Linked DNA regions of Callithrix jacchus. The main gene of each other region encodes a partner of the protein of the gene in region 3 in a complex. Links are inferred from orthologs where the notes say so. Each region holds a gene or a part of one and is shown on either strand. Other genes may lie near its edges.

What was found.
Region 1: DPM2 (region 3) and PIGH share a complex: the UniProt entries of both Homo sapiens proteins name them as parts of the glycosylphosphatidylinositol-N-acetylglucosaminyltransferase (GPI-GnT) complex. The link is inferred for Callithrix jacchus from reciprocal best matches to the Homo sapiens genes DPM2 and PIGH.
Region 2: DPM2 (region 3) and PIGY share a complex: the UniProt entries of both Homo sapiens proteins name them as parts of the glycosylphosphatidylinositol-N-acetylglucosaminyltransferase (GPI-GnT) complex. The link is inferred for Callithrix jacchus from reciprocal best matches to the Homo sapiens genes DPM2 and PIGY.
Region 4: DPM2 (region 3) and PIGP share a complex: the UniProt entries of both Homo sapiens proteins name them as parts of the glycosylphosphatidylinositol-N-acetylglucosaminyltransferase (GPI-GnT) complex. The link is inferred for Callithrix jacchus from reciprocal best matches to the Homo sapiens genes DPM2 and PIGP.
Region 5: DPM2 (region 3) and PIGC share a complex: the UniProt entries of both Homo sapiens proteins name them as parts of the glycosylphosphatidylinositol-N-acetylglucosaminyltransferase (GPI-GnT) complex. The link is inferred for Callithrix jacchus from reciprocal best matches to the Homo sapiens genes DPM2 and PIGC.
Region 6: DPM2 (region 3) and DPM1 share a complex: the UniProt entries of both Homo sapiens proteins name them as parts of the dolichol-phosphate mannose (DPM) synthase complex. The link is inferred for Callithrix jacchus from reciprocal best matches to the Homo sapiens genes DPM2 and DPM1.
Region 7: DPM2 (region 3) and PIGQ share a complex: the UniProt entries of both Homo sapiens proteins name them as parts of the glycosylphosphatidylinositol-N-acetylglucosaminyltransferase (GPI-GnT) complex. The link is inferred for Callithrix jacchus from reciprocal best matches to the Homo sapiens genes DPM2 and PIGQ.

The regions. Positions count from the first base shown.
Region 1 is NC_133509.1:102,593,105-102,597,162, forward strand, and holds the start of PIGH (phosphatidylinositol N-acetylglucosaminyltransferase subunit H), read right to left. Parts: upstream 2,812-4,058; 5' UTR 2,727-2,811; coding exon 2,547-2,726; intron 1-2,546. UniProt on the Homo sapiens protein: Part of the glycosylphosphatidylinositol-N-acetylglucosaminyltransferase (GPI-GnT) complex that catalyzes the transfer of N-acetylglucosamine from UDP-N-acetylglucosamine to phosphatidylinositol and participates in the first step of GPI biosynthesis.
Region 2 is NC_133504.1:109,148,239-109,150,792, reverse strand, and holds PIGY (phosphatidylinositol N-acetylglucosaminyltransferase subunit Y), read right to left. Parts: upstream 1,169-2,554; 5' UTR 1,071-1,168; coding exon 855-1,070; 3' UTR 607-854; downstream 1-606. Other genes in the region: PYURF (protein preY, mitochondrial), read right to left, coding at 1,169-1,315. UniProt on the Homo sapiens protein: Part of the glycosylphosphatidylinositol-N-acetylglucosaminyltransferase (GPI-GnT) complex that catalyzes the transfer of N-acetylglucosamine from UDP-N-acetylglucosamine to phosphatidylinositol and participates in the first step of GPI biosynthesis.
Region 3 is NC_133502.1:176,562,842-176,567,012, forward strand, and holds DPM2 (dolichol phosphate-mannose biosynthesis regulatory protein), read right to left. Parts: upstream 2,809-4,171; 5' UTR 2,780-2,808; coding exon 2,777-2,779; intron 2,483-2,776; coding exon 2,393-2,482; intron 1,589-2,392; coding exon 1,486-1,588; intron 726-1,485; coding exon 667-725; 3' UTR 33-666; downstream 1-32. UniProt on the Homo sapiens protein: Regulates the biosynthesis of dolichol phosphate-mannose. Regulatory subunit of the dolichol-phosphate mannose (DPM) synthase complex; essential for the ER localization and stable expression of DPM1.
Region 4 is NC_133522.1:43,067,419-43,071,542, reverse strand, and holds the start of PIGP (phosphatidylinositol N-acetylglucosaminyltransferase subunit P), read left to right. Parts: upstream 1-1,264; 5' UTR 1,265-1,472; intron 1,473-1,881; 5' UTR 1,882-1,903; coding exon 1,904-1,985; intron 1,986-2,880; coding exon 2,881-2,925; intron 2,926-4,124. UniProt on the Homo sapiens protein: Part of the glycosylphosphatidylinositol-N-acetylglucosaminyltransferase (GPI-GnT) complex that catalyzes the transfer of N-acetylglucosamine from UDP-N-acetylglucosamine to phosphatidylinositol and participates in the first step of GPI biosynthesis.
Region 5 is NC_133519.1:30,305,939-30,310,289, reverse strand, and holds PIGC (phosphatidylinositol N-acetylglucosaminyltransferase subunit C), read right to left. Parts: upstream 2,900-4,351; 5' UTR 2,791-2,899; exon of another isoform or gene 2,482-2,790; intron 1,680-2,481; 5' UTR 1,442-1,679; coding exon 548-1,441; 3' UTR 205-547; downstream 1-204. UniProt on the Homo sapiens protein: Part of the glycosylphosphatidylinositol-N-acetylglucosaminyltransferase (GPI-GnT) complex that catalyzes the transfer of N-acetylglucosamine from UDP-N-acetylglucosamine to phosphatidylinositol and participates in the first step of GPI biosynthesis.
Region 6 is NC_133506.1:46,465,383-46,468,935, forward strand, and holds the end of DPM1 (dolichol-phosphate mannosyltransferase subunit 1), read right to left. Parts: intron 2,256-3,553; coding exon 2,141-2,255; intron 1,108-2,140; exon of another isoform or gene 1,106-1,107; coding exon 1,001-1,105; 3' UTR 526-1,000; downstream 1-525. UniProt on the Homo sapiens protein: Transfers mannose from GDP-mannose to dolichol monophosphate to form dolichol phosphate mannose (Dol-P-Man) which is the mannosyl donor in pathways leading to N-glycosylation, glycosyl phosphatidylinositol membrane anchoring, and O-mannosylation of proteins; catalytic subunit of the dolichol-phosphate mannose (DPM) synthase complex.
Region 7 is NC_133513.1:2,826,840-2,831,167, reverse strand, and holds the start of PIGQ (phosphatidylinositol N-acetylglucosaminyltransferase subunit Q), read right to left. Parts: upstream 2,835-4,328; 5' UTR 2,764-2,834; intron 2,335-2,763; exon of another isoform or gene 2,160-2,334; intron 636-2,159; exon of another isoform or gene 374-635; intron 1-373. UniProt on the Homo sapiens protein: Part of the glycosylphosphatidylinositol-N-acetylglucosaminyltransferase (GPI-GnT) complex that catalyzes the transfer of N-acetylglucosamine from UDP-N-acetylglucosamine to phosphatidylinositol and participates in the first step of GPI biosynthesis.

The DNA.
Region 1 (4,058 bases), on a different chromosome or scaffold from region 3:
CTGATCTCTGTGCTATGTGTTGATTGATGAATGGAGGATTCAGTACTGGTTCTCTGATGATCCAAAAAGATCTAATTTTGCAATTAAGATTAATTGCACTGAATAAGCATTATGAAGAATGGAGAGGAATACAATTCAGCCCTAACCCTTACAGATTTATTAAAGGCAAGATTAATACATAGAAAATATTCTGGAGGATACTCTGATACTGACTACAAGTACCAAAGGAAAAGTTTTTTTTTTTTTTTAAATAAAAAAGAAAGAAAAAGATATAAAAACACACAAGAATATATCCCATCACATCCAAGGAAATAGGATTTTAATTGGTGCAGGGGAGGTGGTGGTTAGTGGCCAATCTAATTAGTTGAAAGGGAAGGGAGAAGAACATTCCAGGGTGGAATAAACAAGGGAACAACCTGGAACTTTAATAGAACTGTGAACTCAAAAACATGAAGGGATTAAGGACAGTAAATCCTTAGGGATTTGATCCACGTCAGTTTTCCAGTGAAAGCAATCCATGCCTAAAACTTCATTACTACCTGCATTTTTTTACTTCATTTTTCTGTATAGAATTCAAACAATTCAATATTCATTTGAGTTGGTATTAAGCTGTATGTTTGAATGAATTCCTTCAATCAGATTTCTTCTCATTCCAGATATGCACTACTCTCATAAAGTTTTGAATAGGAAAGGTAAGAAATTTTGGCACACAGAGCCCTTAGGAAGTGTTGCAGTAGAGTTTAAAGGAAGATGAGGTCACTAAATCCCGGGCATTTGATAGGGGTGAGCAGAGTACACCAGGATAAGAGACATAAGTACAGAGGGGACCTGGCATAAAAGCAGGCTTTTGTTTTTAAATTTTGCCTAAGATCAGCTATACAATGGTATAAAGGAAAAAAAAGGGTCTTGGAGTCAAAGAGCCCTGGGTTTGAAGCCCAGATCTGCCATTTACTGCTTTGAGACTTTTGGTAATCATTATTCTTTGTAAGCCTTGGTTTTCTTCATTCTAGGCTGAAGTAAAGAATTTAGTAAAGCATCCGGCACTCAGTGGGCATTTAATAAATATCTATTTCCTCCTCCTCCTCCTCACATGACCACATACATAGGCTATAACAACTCAGGCTAGTACTAAAATTCAACTATACTATATTTTAAATGTTGGGGGTGCTGTCAAATCAATTTAATCATCATTTTAACTGACTTATGAACAAATTTTTTTTTTTTTTTGAGACAGAGTCTTCCTCTGTCGCCAAGGCTGGAGTGTAGTGGCACGATCTTCGCTCACTGTTACCTCTGCCTCCTGGGTTCAAGTGATTCTCCTGCCTCGGTCTCCCAAGTATCTGGGACTACAGGCATGCGCCACCACACCCAGCTAATTTTTGTATTTTACAAATACAAAATACATGGTGATAAAAATACAAATACATAGTGAGACACGGTTTCACCATGTTGGCCAGGCTGGTTTTGAACTCCTGACCTCAAGTGATCCACCTGCTTCAGCCTCCCAAAGTGCTAGATTACAGGCATGAGCTACTGCACCCTGACTGAACAGACTTTTAGATAGTTTACTACAATTAGGGCAGTCTTAATTCTGCATATTTCTATGCTAAATTACCATACTGTGAAATATGCTTTGACAGCAAAAAAAAGCTAATGGATGCAGTAATGGAAACAATATCCAAGTTACAGAAATAAATAGCCCTGCTGTACTTAACTCCGATCAGATCACTTCAGGGATAATACATCCAACTCAGGCACTACATATGAAACTAGAACTCAGCCTGAAAAGGCAATTAGGATAATTCTTTTTATTTGAGAACTGTTATAAAGTTACTGCATTTAACCCTCACAATATCATGAAGCTGGTATGGCAGGCATTAATTCTATTTTAGAGATGTAGAAAATTGAGGCTCAGAGAAAACAGGAATGAATCTGGAAATTGAGCACAGATACCACACACATCCAAAATTTCAAAATCCTTTAGAAAGTACTTAAAATTGGGGGAGAGTTTGGGAGGAGGGAGGGTTAAACTGTATTGAAAAACAGATTAGGAAGAACGATAACACTATATTTATACACACAGCTACACAAGTGTACACTGTGGAGGCAAAGACAGTTTGTGGAAAACTACATAAGGTATTGTTAGCAGCACTGCCTTTGAGGAGCAGAAGTGATAGACGAGGAAGACCCACTTACTTCCCTGAACTCTTGGAATTAAATTACTACGCGCCTATATTACATAGAACACGTGGAAATTAAAGTTTTAGACCATCGTGCAAGAACTAGATGTATGCTGGGTGAACCCACCGAGCAGAGCACAGACACAGAGGGGAAATGTACTTTCCAGGAGCACACATTCACCAAACATCATTTAAAGAGCTGTCCAGCATCGGAGTGGCGTCCCCAAAACCCGTGAGTTCCCGCCCTCTGGTCCTACCACTGTAGGAGGGGCCAACCAGAGATCTGGGCTCGATCAAAGACCCCAGAGACTCTCCCAAAGCCGAACCCCCTCCTCCGAGAGAGCGGAGGGGCCGACCAGCCATTACCTCGCAGAGGCTGAAGAGTCCGTAGGCCGCCAGCCACACCGTGCAGGTGACAGCCGTAAGCGAACGCAGCGAGAGCCGAGGGCAGCTGAGGCAGAACTCCCGGCAGGACGGGGAGTAGTAGCGGCGCTGCAGGGCCAGGCGGCCGCCGCAGATATCCGAAAAGCTCCGCTCATCCTCCATGACTGGCTTGCCCCTACTAGGCGGCCCGCACTGCACCGCGTTCTTCTGCTCTCCCAGCCTCGCCAGCTCCAGACCCGCTTCCGGCAGTCGCGTCACCACGCCCCGCCCCTAAGCCCGCGCAGCCTCAGTTGCGCGCCAAGAGCCCTCCTGGGGTCTGAGTCTGAGAAAGGGAATGGTCAGACCCATCTCTTGAATGGTGAGTCATGTGTTTTAACAACGTTTCTTGTTCACCAGATACACTTCATTAAAAAGCGAAGTGGGGCCGGGCGCGGTGGCTCACGCCTGTAATACCAGCACTTTGGGAGGCCGAGGCGGGTGGATCACGAGGTCAAGAGATCGAGACCATCCTGGTCAACATGGTGAAACCCCCGTCTCTACTAAAAATACAAAAAAAATAGCTGGGCATGGTGGCGCATGCCTGTAATCCCAGCTACTCAGGAGGCTGAGGCGGGAGAATTGCCTGAACCCAGGAGGCGGAAGTTACAGTGAGCCAAGATCGTGCCATTGCACTCCAGCCTGGGTAACAAGAGCGAAACTCCGTCTCAAAAAAAAAAAAAAAAAAAAAAGCGAAGTGACAGTCAGAAAAGTGAAGTGACTTAGCCAAGGTCATACAACTTGGAAGCAGCAGATCAGGAAGAAAAATCCAGGTCACCTGCTAGGTAGGCTAGTCTTCCGTCCAAGGGCATACTAGACCCAGGTCAACTCAGCCATGTGGGGCTGCCAGATGTTTCTGCATGTGGATAAAGAGAAACAGGCCAAGGGCTACGAGGGGGCAGAATAAGCTAGAAACTCCCAGAACTTTGGTCCTAGAAGGGCCCTTAAGAATTATCCAGGCTGGGCATGGGGGCTCATGTCTGTAATTCCGGCATTTTGGGAGACTGAGGTGGGCAGATCACCTGAGGCCAGGAGTTCAAGACCAACCTGGCCAACATGACAAAACCCCTTCTCCACTAAAAGCTCGGCCTTGGCCCAGCTTCTGTAATTGTCTTCGTACAAAGTTTGTTGGGGGCAACAATTCAGTGGACAGATTAAAACGCTTTTAGGCCAGGCGCGTTGGCTCACACTTCCAGTGCTTTGGGAGGCCAAGGCGGGAGGATCGCTGGAGCCTGGGAGGTCGAGGTTGCAGCGAGCCGAGATCATGCCACTGCTCTCCAGCCTGGGTGACAGAGCGAGACCCTGTCTCGAAACAAACCCGTAGTTTGTTTTTGTTTTTGTTTTGAGACGGAGTGGAGCAAATTTAGCTCACTGCAACATCTGTTCCCTGGGTTCAAGCAATTCTCCGGCCTCAGCCTCTGAGTAGCTAGAATTACAGGCACCCACCACCACATCTGG
Region 2 (2,554 bases), on a different chromosome or scaffold from region 3:
TTCTGGAAAATCAGGAGCTATTCATGTGTTGATGCTCATGCCCGTTGTAGTGTTATTCAGTCTCCTGGGAAAATAAACTGAAATGTGGCTCAAAATGTGGCTGTAAGCTCAAAAGGGTACAAACTACTACTTGCAAGTCTTCGACCCCTCACTTTCCTGGGAAATGATTCTAGAGAGGAAGTACCTCTCTAAACACAGCCTATGTTTAGTGCAGTTTTACAACTTCCCTTTGTATCAATCACACTTCTGTGACCAAACAAATGACTACTGCAAACTGGTTTATTTCATCTTTTATGGTAAAGTGTCAACATCTTTATTGCTAATATAAGCAGTTAATGTCAAAGAAATGAAGGTAATTTTACAAACTTAATTTCTGTTAAGTACCTGAAATTTCTATTTGATGATATGGTTTTATATCACACTTGTTCAAATGCATTTGTCTCCCTTAGAGAGAGTATTTCAACATCACTCCTTTAGAATTATTTCAGTCATTCCTAACATGTGACTTTACCAAAGACCTTAAACTTAACAAACAAGCAAAACAAAATTTCAATAACTTTTAGATGAACAGAATAAGAAATACTCATGACATGACAATTGGGGATGTTCATCTCCAACAAGACACTGTCAAAATGTTTTCTCTGATACAGCAGTTATAAGTCAGAGCCTGCAAAACACAAGGGCAGAGCAAGAGTACAACAAAAGAAGCATCTGCAACTTAAGTCTCCCACAGTCCTAAGCCTGATATACACAAAGCAAAGCCTCTTTCCTGCAAACTTCCATCCAGTTGAGCTTTCAGAGATAGATGCCCAAGAGCTATTATTAATAAATATAGCATATTGACACTAGTTACATCAATTATGCCTGAAGAGTTTAATACCCATCCAAGTCCAAAGGTGGAAGAATACATACACTGGTATGGAAATAGGCAAGAGCAAACTGTAAAAGCAAAGGCTGGCTGTGCTAGTGCAGCCCTGTGGGAAGTTTTCTTCCACAGAGGCCGAGTAGAACAGTCCTGCTAAAGAAACCAGTGGAATAAGAACAGTCAACGTAGGAAGAGACATAAACATTCTTCTCTTCCAATTATTACCCTCCACTATGTTTTAAAAGGTATACGGTATTAAGAAAAGTCAGCTGTTGGGTTTTTTTTATTTTTTTTAATTATGAACTAGCGCTGCTCCAGTTCTTCTTGCTTCTTACTTTGATGCGTCATCCTAGCTGCCTGCGGTATCATATTAGGAATCCCATCAATGATTGGATAAGCTATTCCCAATTCTTCATTAATCAATTCATTTGTTGATGCTTCATATCTGAGGTTGAAAAAAAAAAAGAACAAAATGAATTGTGAAAAATAAAATGCTTGAAGAGCCTGATTTTCAACAAATACCACCATTTATCCAATTCTCGGTATAGAGTTAGTTAATCCCAGAGTAGTCTTCTTCAATTCTAAAAGCAACAATAGCCAATTCAACCTTTTATCTTAAAAAAAATTCTCTTAGAATCTATAATTATTCCCATTTTAGTCGGTTTCTCTCATATTCTCTTTTTCGCCTTATTCACAAGTTATTCCTTAATTTCGTTTTTATAGTAGTCAGAAAAGATCCCCCTCTTACCCAAATATTCCTTCACTACTTCGGTCAACCCTCAAACCATCTCTGTAAATTTACTACTGGAACAAACACTAGAGAAAAATCAACTTCTTCATTTTAGAATAAATGCTAAATAGAGAAACTTAACTAATCCATTAGAAGGAAATAACTGGAAAAGGTGAGAGGGCAGAAATGAGAAAACACTGGAAAGCAGTGAGTCTGCGGTGAGCTAGTTATAAAGGCAAATCAAGTAATTTCAAGGTTTGAGAAAATTGAATAATATTATGGGAAAAAAAGAAATATGAAAAAACTGCTAGCAATCTACCATTCAAAGATAGTCCCTGATAACATTTTGGTGTTTAGTTTATGCGATTTGTAATACTAGTGTTAATGTTGTTGATATTCAATTCTGGTAGCTTGGAAACTGTAGAGCTGTTTTCCCAAAAACTAGGTTAAAGAGGTTTCTACGAAACCTGCTAGTCCACAACTAAGAGCCACTGGGCAGCACACACAGGTGAAATGCTTAAGATTGTCAGGCACCAGTTGTACACGACACCTTCACAAGAATCTGGAGGGTACAACAATACTTTTCATCATCTTGGCTTAAAAACCAGAAGGCTTTGGCCTTGTCCTGAATCGCAGTGGTTCATAAACCTGGTTATACCTTAGAAATCATTTCGGGGTCGTTTAAGAACACACAAATAAGCTGGGAGTGGGGGCGGCGCCTGTATCCCCCAGCTCCTTAGGAGGCTGAAGCCGGAGTTCTAGGCCAGCCTGGGCAACGTAAGGAGCACCCTGTCTCTTAACAGGAAAAAAGAAAAAAAAAAAAATACAAATGTTCAGGTCTCATCCCTCGGACATTCCGAGTCTGCTGGTCTTGGGGGCTGTCGGGGAATCGGCATTTTTAAAACGGTCCCCGGGTGATTGCATTGCGCAGCCGGTGGCGAACCTAAAACGCTTCAAGC
Region 3 (4,171 bases):
CCAACTCTCAGGAAACACAGCACAAAAACAAATACACAATCAGTCAGCATTTATTGGTCAGCTCTCCCAAATAGGCCTGCCCTGGGGTTGGGGGGCTGGGCCTCCATGAGGAGTGGTCAATCAGTGGGCCCGGGGTAGCTCATAATGTGCCCTGAGCCCTACGGGTGGTCCTGGGGTCTGTCAGTCCTTCCCCAGGCTTTCCAGGTCCAGAAGGGCTTGTGGGGAGTGGCGCTGTGTCAGGCTAAGGAAAGTTGCCTTGGTGGAGGAGAGGGCTTGTGGAGAGAGGTCAGAGGTCACAAATGCAGCCTTAGAACCTGCTAAGTCCAATGTCAGCATGTGACAGGAGAGGAAATGAGGCATGATGGCAGAACCCCGGGGAAAAGGTGGCAGGGGGTCTGAGAGTGAGATTGGGAGGACCAGCATCTTTCAGGCCCTGGGCAAGAAAGGGGTGACCTTTCTTGTGTCCCTCCCTCCTAGCTTCTGGAAGGGAGAGCAGGGGAGGGGGGTCCAGTCAGTCAGGGCTAAGTTCCATGCTATGGGGACTCTGCAGGACAGCCAGGCTTGGGGCGCCACTGTGCCTGGGAAGGTTCTGCAGGCTCCCAGGCTTGGTCCCTGCCCTGGAGGGGAGGCAGAGAAGGGGCTGGCAGCCTCATCCCCGCAGGACCTTCACTGAGTCTTCTTGGTCACCCTCTCACTCTTCAGCATCACGTAGGTGATGAACAGTCCTGGAATACACAGACCAGAAAGGCCACGTAATATCTGGGCTCAGGGCTGCTGGGAGGTCAGGGCATGACACGGCAGAGCCACCCACCTGCAGGGCTGTGTACCTACCCACCCACCCTCTAGGGGACCTGCTCATCTCCCCAGTCATTCATCAAGCCATAGGTCCATTCACATTCATTCAACAAACACCAACTGAGTGCCTGCCTCAGGCAAGATGCTGAATTTAATGTTTCAGATTCCAAGGGGAACAAGATCCACCCATCTATCGATCACCCAATGAACCACTTGTCCACCTACCTACCTGCCCACCACCTACACCTCACCCACCCACCCATCCATCCACTCATCATCCAGGCACCCGGCTGTTGACTGACTCATCCAAATGACTTTGAGCACAACCTCAGTGCCACAGCCCATTCTAGATGCACAGTAATGATGGAGACACAGTCCCCATCCCTAGAAAGCCATGAGACAGAGAGGGGCAGGAATTAGAAGTCAGGGTGATGAGAGGGTGACTGAGGTGAGCAGAGTGATGATGGGGTTGGGGGAAGAAAAGAGGGGGACAGGTCACTGGAGTCCAAAAAGCCTGAGGCACCAGGAGGCCCAGAGGCTACTGACTGGCAGCCTTGAAGGATAACAGGAAAACCCCAGGGGTGACTGCAGGGCAGGGAGCTTCCAGCAGTGCCAAAGTGTGGAAGCACCTTCTGAGGTGGGTCCTCCCGAAACCCTGCCCAGGGTCAAGGGGAGGAGGTGATGACTTACCCACAAACAGGAGTAGCAGGAGGCCTGCGGCCATCGGGATGGCAACAGCGTAGGCACGGGGCAGGAAATACTTGTGGATGACATGCTGGCTGTCGATGAATGGCTGGCATCGAGGGCAGAGCTCTGGTGAGCCTTGCTCGCCTTGCCCAGCCCCCAAACATCCCACCTCCTCCATCTAAGGGGCTGACCCATTCAGAGCATTGGGACTGGATTTGCTTTTCTTTAAGATTATGGGATTTGGGTGTCCTGTTTTTTCCCTTCCTTAATTTTTTTTCTCTTGAGCAATGTGATGGTTAATACTGATCCTTCCTTAATTTCTTACTGGTATTTACCAGGCACTTGCTTTGGTGCCTGCCACAGGTTGGTGGTGGGGACAAGAGATCTGCCCCAAGGCACTCACAGCCTAGCAAATGGTACATGAGGAATCCTCGATTGATTCCCAACCTGGGCCTCCAGGCTTTTTCACTAATATTTTTTCTTTAAAAATAACCACGTTCTGCACTTCCAAACACACTGCACTTCTTAAGTAATGACCAACAAGTTTTCCCACAAGAAAAAAATATATCCTAAAGGCCTTCACAAATATCACTGGCGCTCGCCATGGCCAAGAGTCAGCAGGATAACCCAGAAGGAATAGAACTCCTCCAAAAGTCAAAGCAAGCTGGAAACAGAGTTTTACGCGTAGCGGTTAAGGATGTAATCTTGAGCTTCATCCTTCTCCCCGAGCCTCAGCTATCTCATATATAAAATGCGGCACCAATGGCATCTTCCTCATAGAATTGTTCTGGAGGTTTCATGAGACGAGGCAGGCAATGATGCCAGTGCCGTGCCTAGCGCTTATATTGTAGCTGCTTTGGCGGTGCCAGAGCTCGGGGAAGGTGAGCAGCGGGCGGGGAGAATGACATACCAAGAGAATCACCCAGGCGGTGTAGTAGGTGAAGATGATCAGGCTAACGGCGACGAGGCCGAGTCCCACCACCTGGTCTGTCCCCGTGGCCTGGAGAAAAGGGAAGTCTCAGCTGACAAAGTGACTCTCCATTTCCGCGCACTAATGGAAGCCGGGCGTCGCGGCCGTTATCACTGTCTAAGCTTCCATTCATTCAACAGATGCTAGAGGGCTGACTAGGGATCAGTTTCTAGGCTGGGAGAGAATGCCAAGCCTCGCTGTTGTCCGTACAATGGGCAGGCGGGAGAGCAATCCCCGTTTCAAGTGCCCAAGTCCCAGCTCCTGAGCAGACCCGGGACCCCACCCCCAGACGCCCGTATCTCCGGCACTCGGTCCCAATCTCACCATTTCCCCCGGCGCTAAGTTACCGGAGCCACAAGCAACATCCGGTTCCGGGTCACGCTTTTCCGGTTTGGACCGCGGAGCACGCCGGGAGTTGTAGTTCCAGGTCCGGCTCAGGTTTCAGGCCCCACGTCGTCCGAGACTAGCAGGAACCGCCTTCTTCCCTTTGCATTTCGGGAAATGTAGTTCTTCCCTTTGCATTTCGGGAAATGTAGTTCTCAAGGAAATGGCCTGGCCGGTTGCTGCCCGAATCTCCCTAGGGAATGGGACCCAGTTGGGAACCCAGACTCCCTGGCCTTCATGGCCATAGTTCTGTAGCCGTCCCACCATAAGCTAATCTCTAAACATTCCAGAGTCCTGGAGCCAGAGTGGGATGGGAGTGAGGGATCGGAAGTTCCATTTTTCAGATGGGAAAAGCGAGGCTCAGAGGGGTAGATCCCAATCCTAGTCAGTGGTGAAACCGAAACGGGTGGGAGAGGTGCAGAGAATGTTCACTTTCCGGCCTGGGATGGGTGGGGGAGGGTCCGTCTGGAGCCCGCATGGATGGGGAGGATTTGGATTGGTGGAGAGGGGACTCCCCCTCACCATCTCCCGGTCTCCCGGGCCACCCTTCGGATGTCCCCTCCCTCCCTTCACTGGGTGCCTCTTGGAGCAGCCCAAACACGTTTCGGAGCGAGACCCGCGCACAGGCCCCTCCCCAGTCTTGGAGGGCTCTTCCCCTGAGAACAAAGCGATGTTGGGCCAGATCATCTTTCACGCTTCTCCAGCTATAGAGACAGGAACGCGGTCCCTCGCCACTCATGCATGGGGCGGCTGCTCCTCCGGGTCTCACTTGTCACCGCGTCCCTAAGGGAAGCCAGCCGTGAAGGCTTTTTATTTTTTTTGAAATGAAGTCTTGCTTTTGTCACTTAGGCTGGATGGAGTACAATGGTACAATCTCAGCTCACTGCAACCTCCGCCTCCCGGGTCCAAGTGATTCTCCTGCCTCGGTCTCCCGAGTAGCCGAGATTACAGGAGCCCACCACCACACCCAGCTAAATTTTGTATTTTTAGTAGAGACGGGGTTTCGCCATGTTGGCCAGGGTGGTCTCGAACTCATGACCTCGTGATCTGCCGGCCTCGGCCTCCCAAAGTGCTGGTATTACAGGCATGAGCCACTGAGCCTAGCTTTTTTTAAGTTCTATGTTGCCCAGGCTGGTGTCAAACTCCTGGACTCAAACGATCCTCCCAACTCAGCCTCCCAAAGTCTTAGAATTACAGGCGTGAGCCACCATGCCCAGTCCCCTGTGCCTTTTAATTCACTGATGCATTTTTTAATCTGGCCCTACCAGCCCCCTGAGGGTAGGGTCTGTGGTTGCTCCTGTATCCCTGGCAGGAGGCTTGGCACAAAGAGCTTTT
Region 4 (4,124 bases), on a different chromosome or scaffold from region 3:
TTTGAAAGGCCTGTGCAACTGAGAGGCTTTTGGCGTCCAGGGCGCCTCTGGAAAAGGCATGACGCACTGGTACCAACCCAAATTCGCCTACGTCTCAGCTCCATTTTTTATCTTTGATCAGCTTATTCTGTCCTCTGAACAGGCCACACTGACAGCGTCAACACTGCGGAGCAGGGGGCCAGACTCGATCTTGTCCTCCCCCTGCCCGTTAGCGTCTGTCGGGGGAGGATACTCAAAGAGGCGCGGGGGCGAGGGGAGCGCCGGGGTTACCCCCCCCCGCGTCCGTTCCGTGGGAACAGGCCCTGAACTGGACTGCCAGTTCCCACGAAAACAGGTGGCAACAAAGTGGTGAACACACGCACACAGAGCAAGGGGTGCGCATGAACGTTCACGAACACGCACCAGCGAAACCTGCACACAAAAGATACGCACTCGACAGGACTAAACGCGCACACAAGAGATCACGCACTCGACAGGACCCATGCGCAGACACTCTGGGGACACTCGGGGACACGCACCTCGCGCAAGCGAGGCTCTAGGCGGGGGTCGCGATCGCAGGAGGCGCGGCCACGCGCGCTGGGGGACGCGCAGCCCACAGACCAGAGCAGTGACACAAAGGGGGGCCCCCCGCAGAGGCCGAGAGCGCCTACGCAGCCGCCAGGGAGCACGGACACCGACACAAAGGGGGCCACATGGCGACACGCGAGCGTGGGCCCCTGCACCCATAGGGGATGTCAGCCACGCACCGGCCGACGCACGGGCAGGGGAGATGCGCACAAAGGGAGTACTCCCACCCTCGCCCTGGCATCGCAGGGCCTCGCTCGCGAAGGGGGCACCAGACCAAGGGGAAAAACCCACTGGGGCAGGCAATGGCGGCCACACCCCCTCATCTCGCGGGACCCCAGCCCACGCAAACACAGCAGGCACGGCAGCGAGGGACGCGGGGCGACGCGCACACACCCACACTCACCACACACCCACAGAGGGGGTGTGGAAGACCCCGCTCCCCCGGCATCTCGGCTGCAGCAGGACAAGTTGACACATCCGGGAGCCCTGCCGCACGCTGGATGTGCACTCACCGGGGCCCGCCGCCCGCGAGCCTCGACGCGGGCCGGCGCCACCGCCGCAGCCGCCGCCGCCGCCGCCACCTCCGGCCCTCCAAGTCAGCTGACAGCTGGAGGGAGCGAGCGGAGGCGCTAAAGGCAGGTGCGTCACGTGGGCTAGCAGCGCGCAGGCGCAGTAGCGCTGCACCGCCCCCTCCTTCGTCGCCGCGAGCCAAACGGATCCCGCGGGCCCCCGCGCTCTCTGGCTCCTACCCGAGGAGGGTCGTCGTGCGCCTGCGCCAGGGTGGGAGCGCCGTCGCTAGGCCTTTCACTCAGTTTTTTGTCTTTCCGCCCCCACTGCGGCTACCAAGTCGGCGCCTGCGCAGAGATCTCAGCGCTGAGGCGGCAGAGGTGTCGGGCGGGGCCTGGGTGGGCGTATGAAAGACCCCAGGTCGAGGCCCCCGGTATATCCCAGCTCGAAAGAGAAACAGAAGCCCCCATGAGTGGACAGGGCCCGGGGCCTGGGTGCCGTGACCTAGTAGGCCCGCGTGCTCGTGGGCGCCGCGGGAGCGTTGTTCTCCGCTCTCCCCTCCCTTCCCGCGGGAAGGCCACGCTCGCAGAGCTGGAGCGCGCGTCTATTATCCCATTCCCCTCTCCCTGCCCTATCCCGCGCCGCCCCTTCTGCGGGGCACGCGCCAGCCTGGGTCCCTGTGTGCGCGCGAGGTGGGGGCGCGGGTTGCGGGCGGGCACCGTCCCCGCTGCGAAGCGCTGGGGCGAGATTGGCCCACTGGTGCGGAGGAGCACGTCGCTGACGGCTAACTGTGTTCCTTTTCCGCAGATTGTCTAAAGCCCTAGGAAAAATGGTGGAAAATTCACCGTCGCCATTGCCAGAAAGAGCGATTTATGGCTTTGTTCTTTTCTTAGGCTCCCAATTTGTCTTCAGTAAGTACTTTCCCGATGGATGGCCAGGGGCTTTTTCTGGCATTCAGTGACAAGGGAAGAATGCATTGGTTAGACTGTGCACACACCAACTGTTGATTCTTTCTCCCTATGTCTCTTTTTAAGAAAATCAGAAGGGAGCTCGTGTTTGTTGAGTGTTGTACGCCAGCACTAGCCTAGGTGGTTTTAGTCTCTACAAATATTTATACAGCACCAGACACGATGGCAGAGTGAATAAAGCCTGGTCCCTGCCCTGAAGGAGGTAGTGGTCTTGTGGAGGAGACAGATAAGTAAATCTACAGTTAATGCTCAGTGTGACGAGTGTCAGGGGAGCACAGCGGAGAGACATTGAAACCAGACTGGAAAGTCAAGGCTTTCATCCCCCCACCCCCACCCAGACACTGATGCTGAGTAGGAGGGAGGGGAGAAGTGGAAAGGCTGTGAGAGGATTTGGACATGAGGACCTTGATACGGCTCCAGTGTGCCCTGTGGGATCTGAGGAACAAGAGGTGTAGGCCAGAGAAGTTCGGTTGAAAGGTGGATTCTTTGCATCCTGCATCTCCCTTAATCCCCATAACTGTCCATTTAGGGATAAGGAGGGTGACGCTCACTGAGACACTAATATGCCCAGTCACACAAGTGAGTAAGCAAGCCCCAAGTCTCTCCCCAAAAGGATTTGGGAATTATGAGGCACGCAAGAGAGAGGAAATTGAGTGTCCCTGAGCCAACGTTCTGGAACTCTTTGGAAACCAGGAAAGTAGAAGAGGGGTAGTACTTCTGAACCCTAACTGAACTATGTCAGCCTGTACCATCGGTACAACTTGCCGACAATGAAATGGCCAGGCTGTTAGAACTGAAGTGAAAAAGTTACAGCTGAGTTCAAATTCTGACTCCACAGGTGAGCCATGTGAGCTGGCAGCCTCAGGTTCCCTACCTGTAAAAGGTAATGATAATTATGGTTCTTAAATGCTTATGACGCATGAAACAACCCTATGGGGGAGTTTCTGTTGTTATTGTCCTCACTTTAGAGATGAACATACTGGGTTTCAGTAATTTGCCCTAGGTTGCAAAGCTGCTAAATGATAAGCCTCTAAATTTGAACCCAAATACACTGGCTGACTTCACTCTGCTCCCTCTTCTGACTGTTGCTAGGATTAGCGGGTAATTTATGTAAAACACGTAAAACAATGCCTAGAAACAGTTACGTGCTAATAAATGTTAGCTACTCATGTTATTGTTAGCACTTTTGTAAATCCTTGTTTAAAGAGAGTCTCAAAGATTAGAAGCTATATGAGTAAATAAAAGCAATCACTTTAAGACTTAAATTCTGGCCGGGTACAGTGGCTCACGCATGTAATCCCAGCACTTTGGGAGGCTGAGGCCGGCCGGTTACCTGAGGTCAGGAGTTCGAGACCATCCTGACCAACATGGAGAAACCCCGTCTCTACTAAAGTAGCAAAATTAGCCAGGTGTGCTGGCACGTGCCTGTAGTCCCGGCTATTTGGGAGGCTGAGACAGGAGAATTGCTTGAACCTGGGAGGTGGAGGTTGTGGTGAGCCGAGATCTCACCATTGCATTCCACCCTGGGCAACAAGAGTGAAACTTCATCTCAAAAAAAAAAAAAAAAAGACTTAAATTTCATGATATCCACAACCAAAAATTAACTCAAGTATTTATTGAGTGCTTACCATGTGCCAGGCACTGTTACAGGCCAGGAAGGACCAAAACAGTCCAAAATGCCCTGCTTTCATAGAGTCTTTATTCTAACGTTGTGGGGAGGTAGTCAATGGACGAATTAAATAAGAAAAACATACACAGTATCAGGTGCTCACATGTACTGTGGGGAGAAATTAAACAAGGGCAGGAGGACACTGAGTGGAAGGAGGTCCTTCTAATGTGCTTCTGTGTCATCTTTTGCTATTCATGAGCACTCATCACAATGTAGTGAAAATACCAATTTACTCTTGATTCACTACTAGACTTTGAGTTTAGGGAGCCCAGAAGCCACCTGTTTTTGATTCAGTATTGTGCCTCACACTCCTGACATACAGAATTCTGTAATACATATTTGTTAAGAAAAGAATGCATCATCACTGATGTAATAGGTAGGTAAAATTTTTCTCGGCCACTTACCTTGGGTAG
Region 5 (4,351 bases), on a different chromosome or scaffold from region 3:
GATCTTGGGCAACAAAACTGAACATAGCATCCTGTGCTCTAGGATTTGAGCCCTAGATAAATCAAAGAGCGAGCATTAGCCCACAGAAAAGGGTAGAGAGAAGTGACTTTACGTACACACACACATATACACACACATTCTCTCTTTACTCTTCATGCTCTTCTGTCTGCCTACTATTTATGGAAAAATCATGAGACAACTTGATGAATGTGTTATTTTTTTTAATAGAAACCACATCACTTCATATGTTACAGTATGTAATTCAAGAGACCCCCAGAAAGTTTTTTCATCCACAAAATAATAGAAAGGATGAGCTCCCTTACCACCCAGGGAGTTTTGAAATAAGACCTCCCTGGAAATTCCATGCTGCGGTTGATGTTCTACCTACTTTTCCTTGTTTTCAGTCTTTGGTTCATTTTTTTGTTTTGATCTCTATTCTCTTACCACAATGACATGCTGCTTCCAGAATGGAACTCTGTCTTCAAGTTTTATACTAGTTAAGAGGCCAGTCTGTCAGCTTGCCTTAATATGTAATGGATGTCCTAATTTAGCTGAGGAACCTGGACAAGTCTTCCTTGATTTCAGCTTCATCCCAAGGCCCATGAATGTTTTCTTTAAAAAGCTGCAAGCGAATGAGGTAGAATGGACAGAGACATGAGATAGATACCAGCAGAAGGGCAAAGAGTATGGCTCCCACAGCACTAATGGACAGTAGGCCTCCCAAGGCTGAAAACGCAAACATCAGTGTGACCCCCACATAGCTCCGGGGAGTACATGCCTTTAGTTTCTTCTGTAACATGGGCCATAGGGCAAAGATCTGAATGGCAAATGTCACCATGATGAAGGCATGCAGGGAGCGGGGAAGGCGTGATGCCAAGCATACAGAAGCAAAGATGGCCATGTTCAAGGACAGTGTGCTGGATACAATGGCAGCATTGGCACCATAGTCAAAAAAAATGAGATGGCCTAACAGCATGAAGACTGACATGGCATAGATGGTGTCAGTGCTGACAGACTCTGTCAGGGTCTTTAGCACTGGTGAAAACCCATAAGTGAAAGTAATGAAGACTAGGGCACTCTTCAGGTCAGCCCACCGTGTCTGCCCACTCTTCCTTCGCCCTTCACCTCCATCAATGAGATCAAACAAAACATACCCAATCAGTGAAGAAGCCAGGCCAGCCCCAAAAAGCCAATGGGGGGCCAAAAGACCCTCATCCATATACCACCAGATAACTACAAAAACACAAACACTGCACAGCTGTTGGATCACCACACTGGACTCAAATACCACAGCCCAATATTGGTATTTCCGAGCGTGGATGTTTTTCCGAAGCTCTTCCAGGAACCGCCGGTCCACATAGTTATCTGGAAAGGGCTGTCGCTCATACAAGATCTTCTGCCACTTGACCTCCTTGGTGTTAGTTACAGGTTGGGCACACATTATCCTTTCATTCAAACTCAGGCCAGTTTAATCACTGCCCTCACAGAAGTCCGGGTGGTTCCTGTTCTCTATGAAGTTTTGAAATGAGACCTCCCTGGAAATTCCACGCTGTGGTTGATGTTCTACTGAACTTTCCTTGTTTTCAAAGGCAGCAACCCAGGCTAGGCCTACAACAGATGAGTTTGTCTCTGAAGCAGGACAACACAGCCAGGTTCCTAGAAAAAGAGAGACTGTGAACCTATGAAAGTTGTGAAAGGTCAAGGGTAGTACTGAGTTAAAGCCAAATCATTCAGTTTACTAAAAGTCTGAGCAAAATGTATTTGGTAGTCACCTTATCAATTTGGGATATTAAAACTGCATTTCAGATTTGAAAATTGTAATTCCTTGAATAATAATATGCATCTGTTAGCTATCACTTATTGAGTGCCTACTATGTGCTAAGTGCCTTATGTATCTTCTTTCACTTAATCCTCACAACCTTGCAAGTTAGTATTAGTCCTGCTTTAGTAAAAAAGCTGAGATTCAAAATGCTTAAGTAACTTTGCCGTAAGGTAACAGGGCGGAGCCAGCGTTCAAACCAGTCTTATCCCAAAGCCTGTGTCTCACATTGTATTTCCCTCTAAACCAGTTCATAACTCTCTGGTTCACATACCCCTCAGGTATATCACATTGCATGCTTATATCTGCATTTGTGTAAATTTATAGGGAAAATATCCATAGCTTTTATTGGTTCTCAAAGGCATGTTGTTTATATTTTTTAAGTTACCGATCCAAAGACAATAAATAGTAAGCTGCACTATACAGAAAGATACGAGTGCTGCAGTTTATTTAGCCAAAATCAAAGACTCAAAGAAACTACACTTTTCTTCCATTAGCTGAGCTTAGCATACTTTAAAGAGCTATCATTCTACTCAAAACGGCGAAACTCTTGCGAGGATCGAAGAAGATAATCATCCCTTTTTCACAATGGGAAAACTAAGAGTCAGCAACACCACAGCCATCTGGCAAATCAGAGGAAAATAATTTCATAAATGCCCGACCTAACTTCTTCCATGAAGACAAGTGCTGCTTGGCAAGTCAGACACCATTATTCCTCTCTCCGCTGCGGGGATCCCAGCCCAGGAATTTCAAGGCTATCGCCGGGGTTGGAGGGTCTGCGGCGCCCAAAAGGGCAGCGCCCGCCGGCAAAGTGGAGTTGGGAGGGGACAGGATAGGATAGGGTGACCCCAGGGGCGTGCCATCACTCTCCAGGTCTCCCACTCCCGCCGCCGCCCCTCACCCAGCCTTAGGCCTGCGGGGGACAGCAGAGGAGAAGGAGCCCCGGAAACACACGATTACGTGGAACCCACCTGCCCGAGAATTCCTGGGGATGCGCAGCTGCGGGGCGGCGGCCCTCAGACTTTTTCCCCCTCCGGTGTGCCGGGGCTGCGACTGTGGCCGAGTACTTCCGGGTCCTCCGCTATCTCCTCCGCGAGGGTGCCCTTCCCCAGCTTGAGCCACCGCGCCGAGGCTGCTGCCCTCTCCTGGCTGCTCAGAGACCGCCAGGCTCCCCTCCTGAAGATAGGCCTAAACCCGAACGCTCTAAACTTAGGAAAGCAAATCCCCAACAATCCCCTACAGCAAAACGGGATGTGCCATCTGAAGGGCTGGGTAAAGCAGGAGAGGGACAGGAAAAGAGGCTGGGCCAGTAGGTGAGAGATAATGGCCACTTCCGTTGCGCTCCTTTTATTAAGTCAGGCCCTCAGCTAGGGACTTCCCTGCATGCCTTCATTCCACAGATACTGGCTGAATGCGTGCAGGTAGCAAGCCCTGTTTGTGATGCTCACGATGCAGCCCTGAACTAAACACAAAAACTGCTGCTCTCATGAAACTCTCTTTTTTGTGCATTGATCTTTACACTGATTATATCATCTCCCCTCTCAAAGAGGACAAATCTAAGGCTTAGATAAATTGTATTTGTCCAAAGACAGGCACCTGGGAAGTAGATGAACAGAGATCAATATCCAGTTGTCTATAGCTTCGAAGCTTGGTTTTTCTCCTCTTTACCTCCTAAGAGGGGTGAGGAGAAGACTGCTAATTCAAGTGAGTTCATGGAAATATTAAAGGATGTATGAACAGATGGAGGTAATAAAGAAACAAAGGGATGTAGTAAAACACAGGTTACACTGGAAACGAAAGTTAGAAAACATGACCCATTTACTAGCTCCATGACTGAGGTCAAATCACACTATCTGACCTTTGATTTCTTCATCAGTAAAATGGAGATGACACTATTTGCACTTGGTTGCTTTATGGGATGGCTAAAGAGTTAAATATAAAATATAAAAATGTTTTGTAAAGTGTTTACTATATGGTTCCTGTTAGCTGACTTTGGCCATCATAATGAGAGCAATGCTCAAGAGTGATACATTCTGTAAACATGATCTCTATTTCCCTCTAGGCTTCTGTTCAAAAATTTGACAAGATTCCTTGGCTTAGTGAGGCCAGCCTTGTAAACAAGCCATTAGTGCTCAGCCTCCCCAGAAGGTAACCTCTCAGCCACTGAAGGCAAAAGTTTTATGAAACGTCTACAGAAGATGATTTCGTCTTACGGGATGGGGACAGTTATCAGAGGGCACATTTGATCCATTGGGAAACCCAAGTCAAGTGCTTTAAAAGTAGAAATATTCTGGGTTTCTCAGATGAAAATTATCACTGAATATAGGCCTTACTCTTAATAAGTACTCTATCTCTTAGTGCTTTTGTTCCTTAAGACTTTGAGTTTCTTGAAACTCTAATTGTCTGCTTTAGATATATTCAAAATTATGTAAAAATAACACAACTGAATAATGAGCACTTGAAAGCACTTGTGCATTTTGTTCTGAAAATACATAAAACTGTCTACCTGTTTATTGAGAATGTGATTTTTTT
Region 6 (3,553 bases), on a different chromosome or scaffold from region 3:
CAAGGTCAGGATATCAAGGTGATCCTGGCCAACACGGTGAAACCCCATCTCTACATAAAAAAAGAAAAAAGTTAGCCAGGCGTGGTGGCGTATGCCTGTGATCCTAGCTACTTGGGAGGCTGAGGCACTTGAACCCACAGGCAGAGGCTGCAGTGAGCCAAGATCGCACCACTGCACTCCAGCCTGGGAGACAGAGCAGGACTCCATCTTAAAAAAAAAAAAAGAAAAAAAGAGAGAGAAACAAATTGTTACATAATTCAGTAAGATGTTTAAAAATTACTGTAGCAGCTATGTTTCTGCCTCAGTATCATTAATACTTTTCCTTACTGATAGAGGTTATTGCTCAAAAGAGAAAGATACGACTATGTAATCTACTGCTGCCAAATTGCTTCCCAATTCACAATATGCATTTTAAATAGACTTGCTTTGGTAGATGAAATGCTTCATCAATTCCACAGCTGAAAAGAACCCAATTCTAAAAGCCTGCTCTAAATGGATTTTCTAGTTTAAGAAATTTGAGATGCATTTTTAAGGAAAGGGCAGAGGTGTGTATTTCTTTTACAGATCATACAGATACAGCCATGATATAGCTATAAACATTTCATCAGTTAACATTATCTTACTTCTGACATCTATTGGGTATAAAGATTCATGATTCCAGTATTTATAAAGAATATTTCAAATTATTCTCCATGTAAAAAATTCTACATTCACTTACTCTAATCAAAGCAGCAATACTTTATGCAAAAAAACCATATACATTTATTTATAGGTCTTAATACAGCAAAATGTAAATGAAAATTGAGACCATTAAAACTCATTAGGCCAACAACTTTAAAATTACTTAATCTGAAATATAGAAGTTCTTCATAAAAAAGATGTGTGAAGTTTACCTTACCTTATGGTTTATACTTTAAGAGTACATTTTATCAAAATCAGTAACCAGGCTTCTTTCATGTTTAAAGTGAAATGAACATAAGTATAAATGATTATATTTCTTTTATGTAGTAGCAAAAAGAGTCAATAATCCTCTCAAGAAAGATACTATTTCATTTCCTCCCAACTTGGATTCACCATAAACACGATCCACAAATGATATTGGAACCTAGTTAAAAACAAAAAACAAAAAACATTAAAGTCAGTCTTCAAAAATAATTAGGTAGCTTAGCAGGTATACCATATTACCAACACAACAGAAACAGGACTAAAAAAAAGTCCTAAAAAGAAGTCCTTAAAGTAAGTACTTTAGGATTCTTAAAGCAACTATGTGTAGCCGGGTGCGGTGGCTCACGCCTGTAATCCTAGCACTTTGGGAGAGTAAGACGGGTGGATCACCTGAGGTCAGGAGTTCAAGACCAGCCTGGCCAACATGGTGAAACCCCATCTTTAAAAAAAAAAAAAAAAACAACTATGTGTATCTCCAAGTCTTTAAAATTAAATGCATCATCTAAAGATAGGTCACATGAACCAATCTACAACTGTTTAAAATGCACTGATCCTAGGTATCACCTTGGTTTACTCAAGTTTCAGTTTGCATTTCAAAGAAAAATTATACCCCAAAAGTAAAGCGGCCTTTTGCTTAGATTTTTCAGTTGTTTGTCAAATTTAGCTATAACAGCTTAGCATTAAGTAAAACATCTTGCAACTTCCACGGGAGAAGTGACATTTCAGGTTAGTTATTTTCTTGCTATGAATAAGAGTTTTACTAGTAAATGAGGAGTCTTCCCTACCCTAAGAGCTCACTCGCTAGCCCTAAGTATTACAGATCACCACTCCCTTGGCTCTGTAATTCCTGGTCTTCACTTACAGGAAATGGACATATGGGATTCATCATTCATTTTAAAGTATGGTGGACACTGGCTGTGGCAAAAGGAAAAGCAGAGACTCAGTCCATAATGCTGACCGGTTAGAAGGAAGGCTAGGATTGAGAAAGTACCAGGAACTTTCCATTATTTAAAAGAGAATGCTAACTGTTAATGTTTTAAATCTTATTGTTCAAATGTACTAATGTGAATTTTTACCATTTGTGCATGAACATTCTAAACAACCAGAAGACCTCCACAATTTAGCAGTTATGAAAGTGAAACTTTACCCCTCCTTTACCAGGAACATGACATACTATTTAGCATCAGCTGCATACCTCGCCAATAGTGTAATTCAACTGTCTTGCCCGAACAATCATCTCCATCTGGAAGACATAGCCTTTAGAAACACATTTTTCTATTAATTTCTCTAGAACTTCTTTGCGGTATAATCTGTAAGAAATCAGAATAAATAAATAAATATATATATATATATATAAATATATATATCTCAACTTCTGGATAAATACACTTGCCTAACATGTATCTTGACCTTTCAAAGAGTTCACTGGTATGTATAAAGCCTAAAACTTCCACTGGCCATTGGTAAACAGAAAAGCTCACAAAGTTGATGATTATGATACATTTGTCCTAAGCAAGAAAGGCCATTAAATATTTGCTAAATAACTTAGAATAATTTTGAAAATGAATTCTCAGTATCTTTTAGAGAATTATTTTCCCGTCATACTATCAGAAATTATTGAAATAGAGTAAAATGAATCATTTGATGCAGAAGCATACATTATTTAAGATTTCCTTAAATTTTAAAGTTGAAGAAACTGTTCCAAACATTGAAACTGTTGTACAGAGTGGACAAATGATGATGAAGCAACAATATATAAGAGATGACAAAAAAAGAACCTCAAAATTAACAGTCATTTCCCAATAAATGTTTATGGTAAGTTTTGATTTCTCATGATTTCCTTTATAAATTCCCTAGGATAAACTAAGTCCCTCTAGGATGAGCTTGGGAAGCTAGGTTAAAACAGGAACTAGACATCACAGGATAGAAAAAATGCTGGTGGGATTCACCTATCACCAATCGAGGTCAGTTAGACACTTAACAGCAAGTGAATGTGCAGCCTAACTTTAGATGGACTGCAGGCCAAATACCAGATTTACAAGGTGAGACAGTGGAGTTGGGCTGTCCAGTGGGTAAACCCAAGCACTTTTTTCAGTAACCAAATAGCAAGGAGCTCCCTATTTTCAGAGTCACAGACACTGTAACTTTTTTTTTTTTAAAGATTAGTGTCTCAGTAGGGAGGCAGCAATTTCTACCTTTTTTTGTGGGGAGAGGGGAGAAAACTAGGAGAGGTAGTTTGGTGAAACTTTGTTCTTTTCAAAGTTAAGGCCATCTGGACCTACTGTGCCTCAGAGTTTCACCTTGAATCCACATTTTTTCCCTCAGACTTCTAAGGCGACAGTATCTTTTGACTATGAAGTGAGTATAGGACAGCACAGCCCTTAGAAGAACCCAACAGAGCTTAGTGTGTGCACTCCTTTATCCACACAGTCTCCTTAAGGATTCAAAGGAATAAATTTGGAATAAATATGAAGAGAGGAGAATCTGATGGTATTTATTCAATAACAAACATTTATTTACCAACATAACAGGTTTCAGATACTTTTTCGTGTTTTGCCTTATAGAATGAACTAAAAACTAAATAAAGATATAATATGTCAGATGCTGT
Region 7 (4,328 bases), on a different chromosome or scaffold from region 3:
AGGCCACACGATGTGGGCACCAAGCTCATCGTGACAGCAGCTCTGCCTGTGAGGGGCCAGCGCTTCTGGCTGAGTGACCACCAGCAGGGATCACCCGGCACAGCCCACCTTTCAGCAACAGCCAGCCAGGACGCTCCAGCTCAGCCCAGGGACCCATCACGCCCTACTGGGAAACAGCTTTCACAGGAACTAAGGAAAACTGCCCACAGATAGTCAGAGAAGAAACACAATCAGCCTAACAGTAAACAGATGTACTGGGGGGAGCGGGTTGTGCATCGGGCTCACTTTGGGTAAATTCACCGAGCTATGCATGTGCTCACGATACCGGCGCTTTCTTTGTGTGTATGCTTTGTGCTTTATCTACAAACTTTACCTTAAGAAAAAAAGCAGCAGCTCCTTGTGTCTACTGACTGAGATGGGAGGGCAGTGAGAGAGAACTCAACCCACTACGGGGCAAACGCCCATCACGCTCCCACCTCAGCCTCTGGGAGCGACGACTACACAAAGAAGCCTGCGCTAGCGGCTGCCGGGATCACACAGCCAGAGGAAGATGAAAGAGCAGCAATCGATAGCAGAGGAGGTGCGGGACGGGAGGAAGAGCGCAGAAACTCGGGCAATGTGAGCATCTTTAAAGACTGAGATTAAAAAAAAAACAAAAAAACAAAACAGTAAAGGGCACCAGGCTAGCCAGAAAAGCTTCCTCTGCTAAGAAGGATCCTGAGTGCTCTTGTCCAGAGCAGGCAGCTAGGGAGGGCTCCAGGACACCCCTCCCCACAAAGCTTAGGGTCAAAACTCAACCACAGACAGTAGTGACTTTCCTCTCTTCCCCTGAATGCAGGAATGGCGGAACCTCAGCCCAGTTGGGACAGGCCAGGGCCATCTCTGACTGAGCCGCCCCTCTCTGCCGCCGCTCCACAAGAGCTCAGGAGAACTTGCGTGTCCCAGTGCCTTGTTTGAAAAAATAAGCATGAGCCTGGCGAGGTGGCTCACGCCTGTAATCCCAGCACTCTGGGAGGCCAAGGCGGGAGAATCAATCCAGGTCAGGAGTTCCAGACCTGCCAGGATGGGGGTGAAACCCCGTTTCAACTGAAAATACAAAAATTAGCTGGGTGTGGAGACAGGCTACAGGTCCCAGCTACTCGGGAGGCTGAAGCAGGAGAATCACTTGAACCCGGAGGCAGAGGTTGCAGTGAGCCAAGATCACACCACTGCACCCCAGCCTGAGTGACAAGGCGAGACTCCCTCTCAAAATCAATACATAGGCGGGGCGCAGTGGCTTGCGCCTGTAATCCCACCTTGGGAGGCTGAGGCGGGTGGATCACGAAGTCAGGGGTTCGAGACCAGCCCGGCCAACATGGTGAAACCCCGTCGCTACTAAAAATGCAAAAAATTGGCCGGGCGCGGTGGCTCAAGCCTGTAATCCCAGCACTTTGGGAGGCTGAGGCGGGTGGATCACGAGGTCAAGAGATCGAGACCATCCTGGTCAACATGTGAAACCCCCGTCTCCACTAAAAATACAAAAAATTAGCTGGGCATGGTGGCACGTGCCTGTAGTGCCAGCTACTCGGGAGGCTGAGGCAGGAGAATTGCCTGAACCCAGGAGGCGGACGTTGCGGTGACCCGAGATCGCGCCATTGCACTCCAGCCTGGGTAACAAGAGCGAAACTCCGTCTCAAAAAAAAAAAAAAAATGCAAAAAATTATCCGGGCGTGGTGGCGGGTGCCTGTAACCCCAGCTACTGCGGAGGCGGAGGCAGAGAACTGCTTGAACCCGGAGGCGGAGCTTGCAGTGAGCCGAGATCGCGCCCTTGCACTGCAGCCTGGGCACCGTGGGGAGAACCCGTCTCAAGAAAACCCAAACAAACGCTCGCTCGTCTTCCTGAGGCCGGGAAGAGCCTGTGATTCTTTTTTTCGCCCTTTCCTGCGACTCGGGACAACTGCGACGGGCCCACAGCCCGGCCCGGACCCCGGCCGCCCCTGCCCAAGGTCTACGGAAGCCGGGTCGGCGCGGGTCGGAGGCGCAGGCCCAGGGGCCGCCCCACTTCCCGGAGGAGGAGGAACCAGCAGCCCCGCGGGGGGCGGGCGGGGCCCCCAGCCCGGGCCCAGAGCCGCAGGGGCGCTGCCCGAGGTCCCGCCGCGCCCTCCCACCGCCCCGCTCACCGGCTGCTCCGGGGGCCGCGCGCTCGGGCCGGGGGTGGGGGGGGGATCCGGAAGGGGTTGAACCCCGTTGGGCGGGCCCGGGCGGATGACGGCGCTCGCAGCCCCCAGCCCCGCCGCGGGACCCGAGCCCCACTTCCGCCGGCTCCGCACGTTGCCGCGCGACGGTCCGGCCCCCAAAGGCGCCCGGGCTGCCCGCCCGCCCAGTCCGAGCGTTCCGCGGCGCAGCCCGGTCCCCAGGCCCGGACCTCCCGCGCCTCCCCGGGGCCGCCAGCGCTGCCTCAGCTCCGCTTCCTCCGGCGAGAGACACCGACGACCCCGCCCGGCCCCCCGCCTCCCCGGGTGAACGGGCCCAGCCCCTGCGGGGTTCCAGAGGGCCCGGGCCCCAGCCCGCTCCGCCCCTCGCCCTGCAGTCTGCAGAGGGGCCGCCCCCAAATCCCCGAGGCCGGCGGTGCCGGGGACTTTGAGGCCCGGGTAGGAGCCCCCCAGGGGCTGCAGCCAGCGATCGTCAGGCGGGAACGCGGGCGTCCGGCGCCTCCGGGTGCGAGGAACGTGACCCCGGCGCAGACCCGCCCGCGGCAGCAGCCCCGGTTCACTGAGCACCTACCACGTTCCCCAATTAATCCCCCCCACAGGGCTCAGGCGCGTGAGGACCTCTCGGGGGGGACGTCCTGTGACGCAGGGGAGCCCCCCTCCCACCCCACAGGGGAAGGGCCAGACACTGCCCCCTCCCGGCTCCCCTCCCCATGCCAGCCCCTCCCTGGACCCCAGACCCGCAGAGTAACCCAGGCGCCTCTCCTTTCACGCCTTCTTTCCCCAGTTGCAAAATGGAGGCAGAGGGTTAGATCCCCGAGGCTGGTGGATCACGAAGTCAGGGGTTCGAGACCAGCCCGGCCAACGTGGTGAAACCTCGTCGCTACTAAAAATGCAAAAAATTATCCGGGCGTGGTGGCGGGTGCCTGCTTTTTTTTTTTTTTTTTCCCCCCCCCAGTTTCCCCCCACCCCACCCCCAAGACGGAATCTTGCTCTGTTGCCCAGGCTGGAGTGCAGTGGCACAATCTCGGCTCACTGCAACTTCTGCCTCCCGGGTTCAAGCAATTCTTCTGCCTCAGCCTCCTGAGTAGCTGGGATTACAGGCACGCGCCGCTACACCCGGCTGATTTTTTGTATTTTTAGTAAAGTCGGGGTTTCACGGTGTTCGCAAGGATGGTCTCCATCTCCTGACCTTGTGATCCACCCACGTCGGCCTCCTGAAGCTGGGATTACAGGCTGAGGGATTACAGGTGAGCCCCCGAGCCCGGCCTTTTCTCAGTCTTCTAAAGCAGCAGGAGTCTGTCCTTAGAGGAAGGCTCCCCCAGGCCCTCAAGTGCGGAGCTGTTTGTCCCCATTTGCAGAATGAAGGCCCAGCCTTCATTCACGGGACGTGGAAGAAAAGGCATCCAGGTTTCAACCATTCATGGGCCTCCAGACACCTCCAGGGCTGCCTCCCCCTTACCTCTGCCAGGCCCAGAAAAGCTACTGGAGGCTCAGGACTGTAGGTGCCTCTAACTGGGACACTTAGGGCTACACCCCTGCCCCAGGTCGCCAAGCCCAGCCCAGCTGCACCCTCCCTGCCTGTCTGCCTCTGATTAGGAGGCCTGGGTGGGGGCACCAGGAGAGAGCATGCCTAGCCATGTGCCGGCAGCTGGCCCGACATGCCCACCATCACTCAAGGCTTCAGCTGCCAGCTGCAAAGTTCATGCACAGGGCCTGAGTGGACTTGGGGTGCATAAATGCAGGGGCCATGGCGCTCAATGGGGACAGCAGAGACTGGCCCTGGCTGGGGAGGCTGCAGGCCTGGCAGGGGCAGCCTGGGAGGCACTAACTCAGGAGCCTCACCAGCAGGAGGACTGGGCCCAGCCCAAGCAGTGCTGGCATCAGGCTGGCAAGGCCCACAGCCTGCAGGCTCCACCCACACTGAAGGTTCCTCCCATGGTGATCCAAGGGCCTTGGAGCTGGCCCCAGGCACAGGAGGGCTGCTCCAGCCCAGCTGAAGGTCAGGCCAGCTGCTTGAGGCCCTGGTACACCTTGATGGAGTTGTCCTTGGCATCGGCCACCAGGAGCTGGCCCTGGGCCGCCCAAGCCCCTGTGACACCAGGCATATGGGTGACCCAGACCAGGGAAACAGGGTCA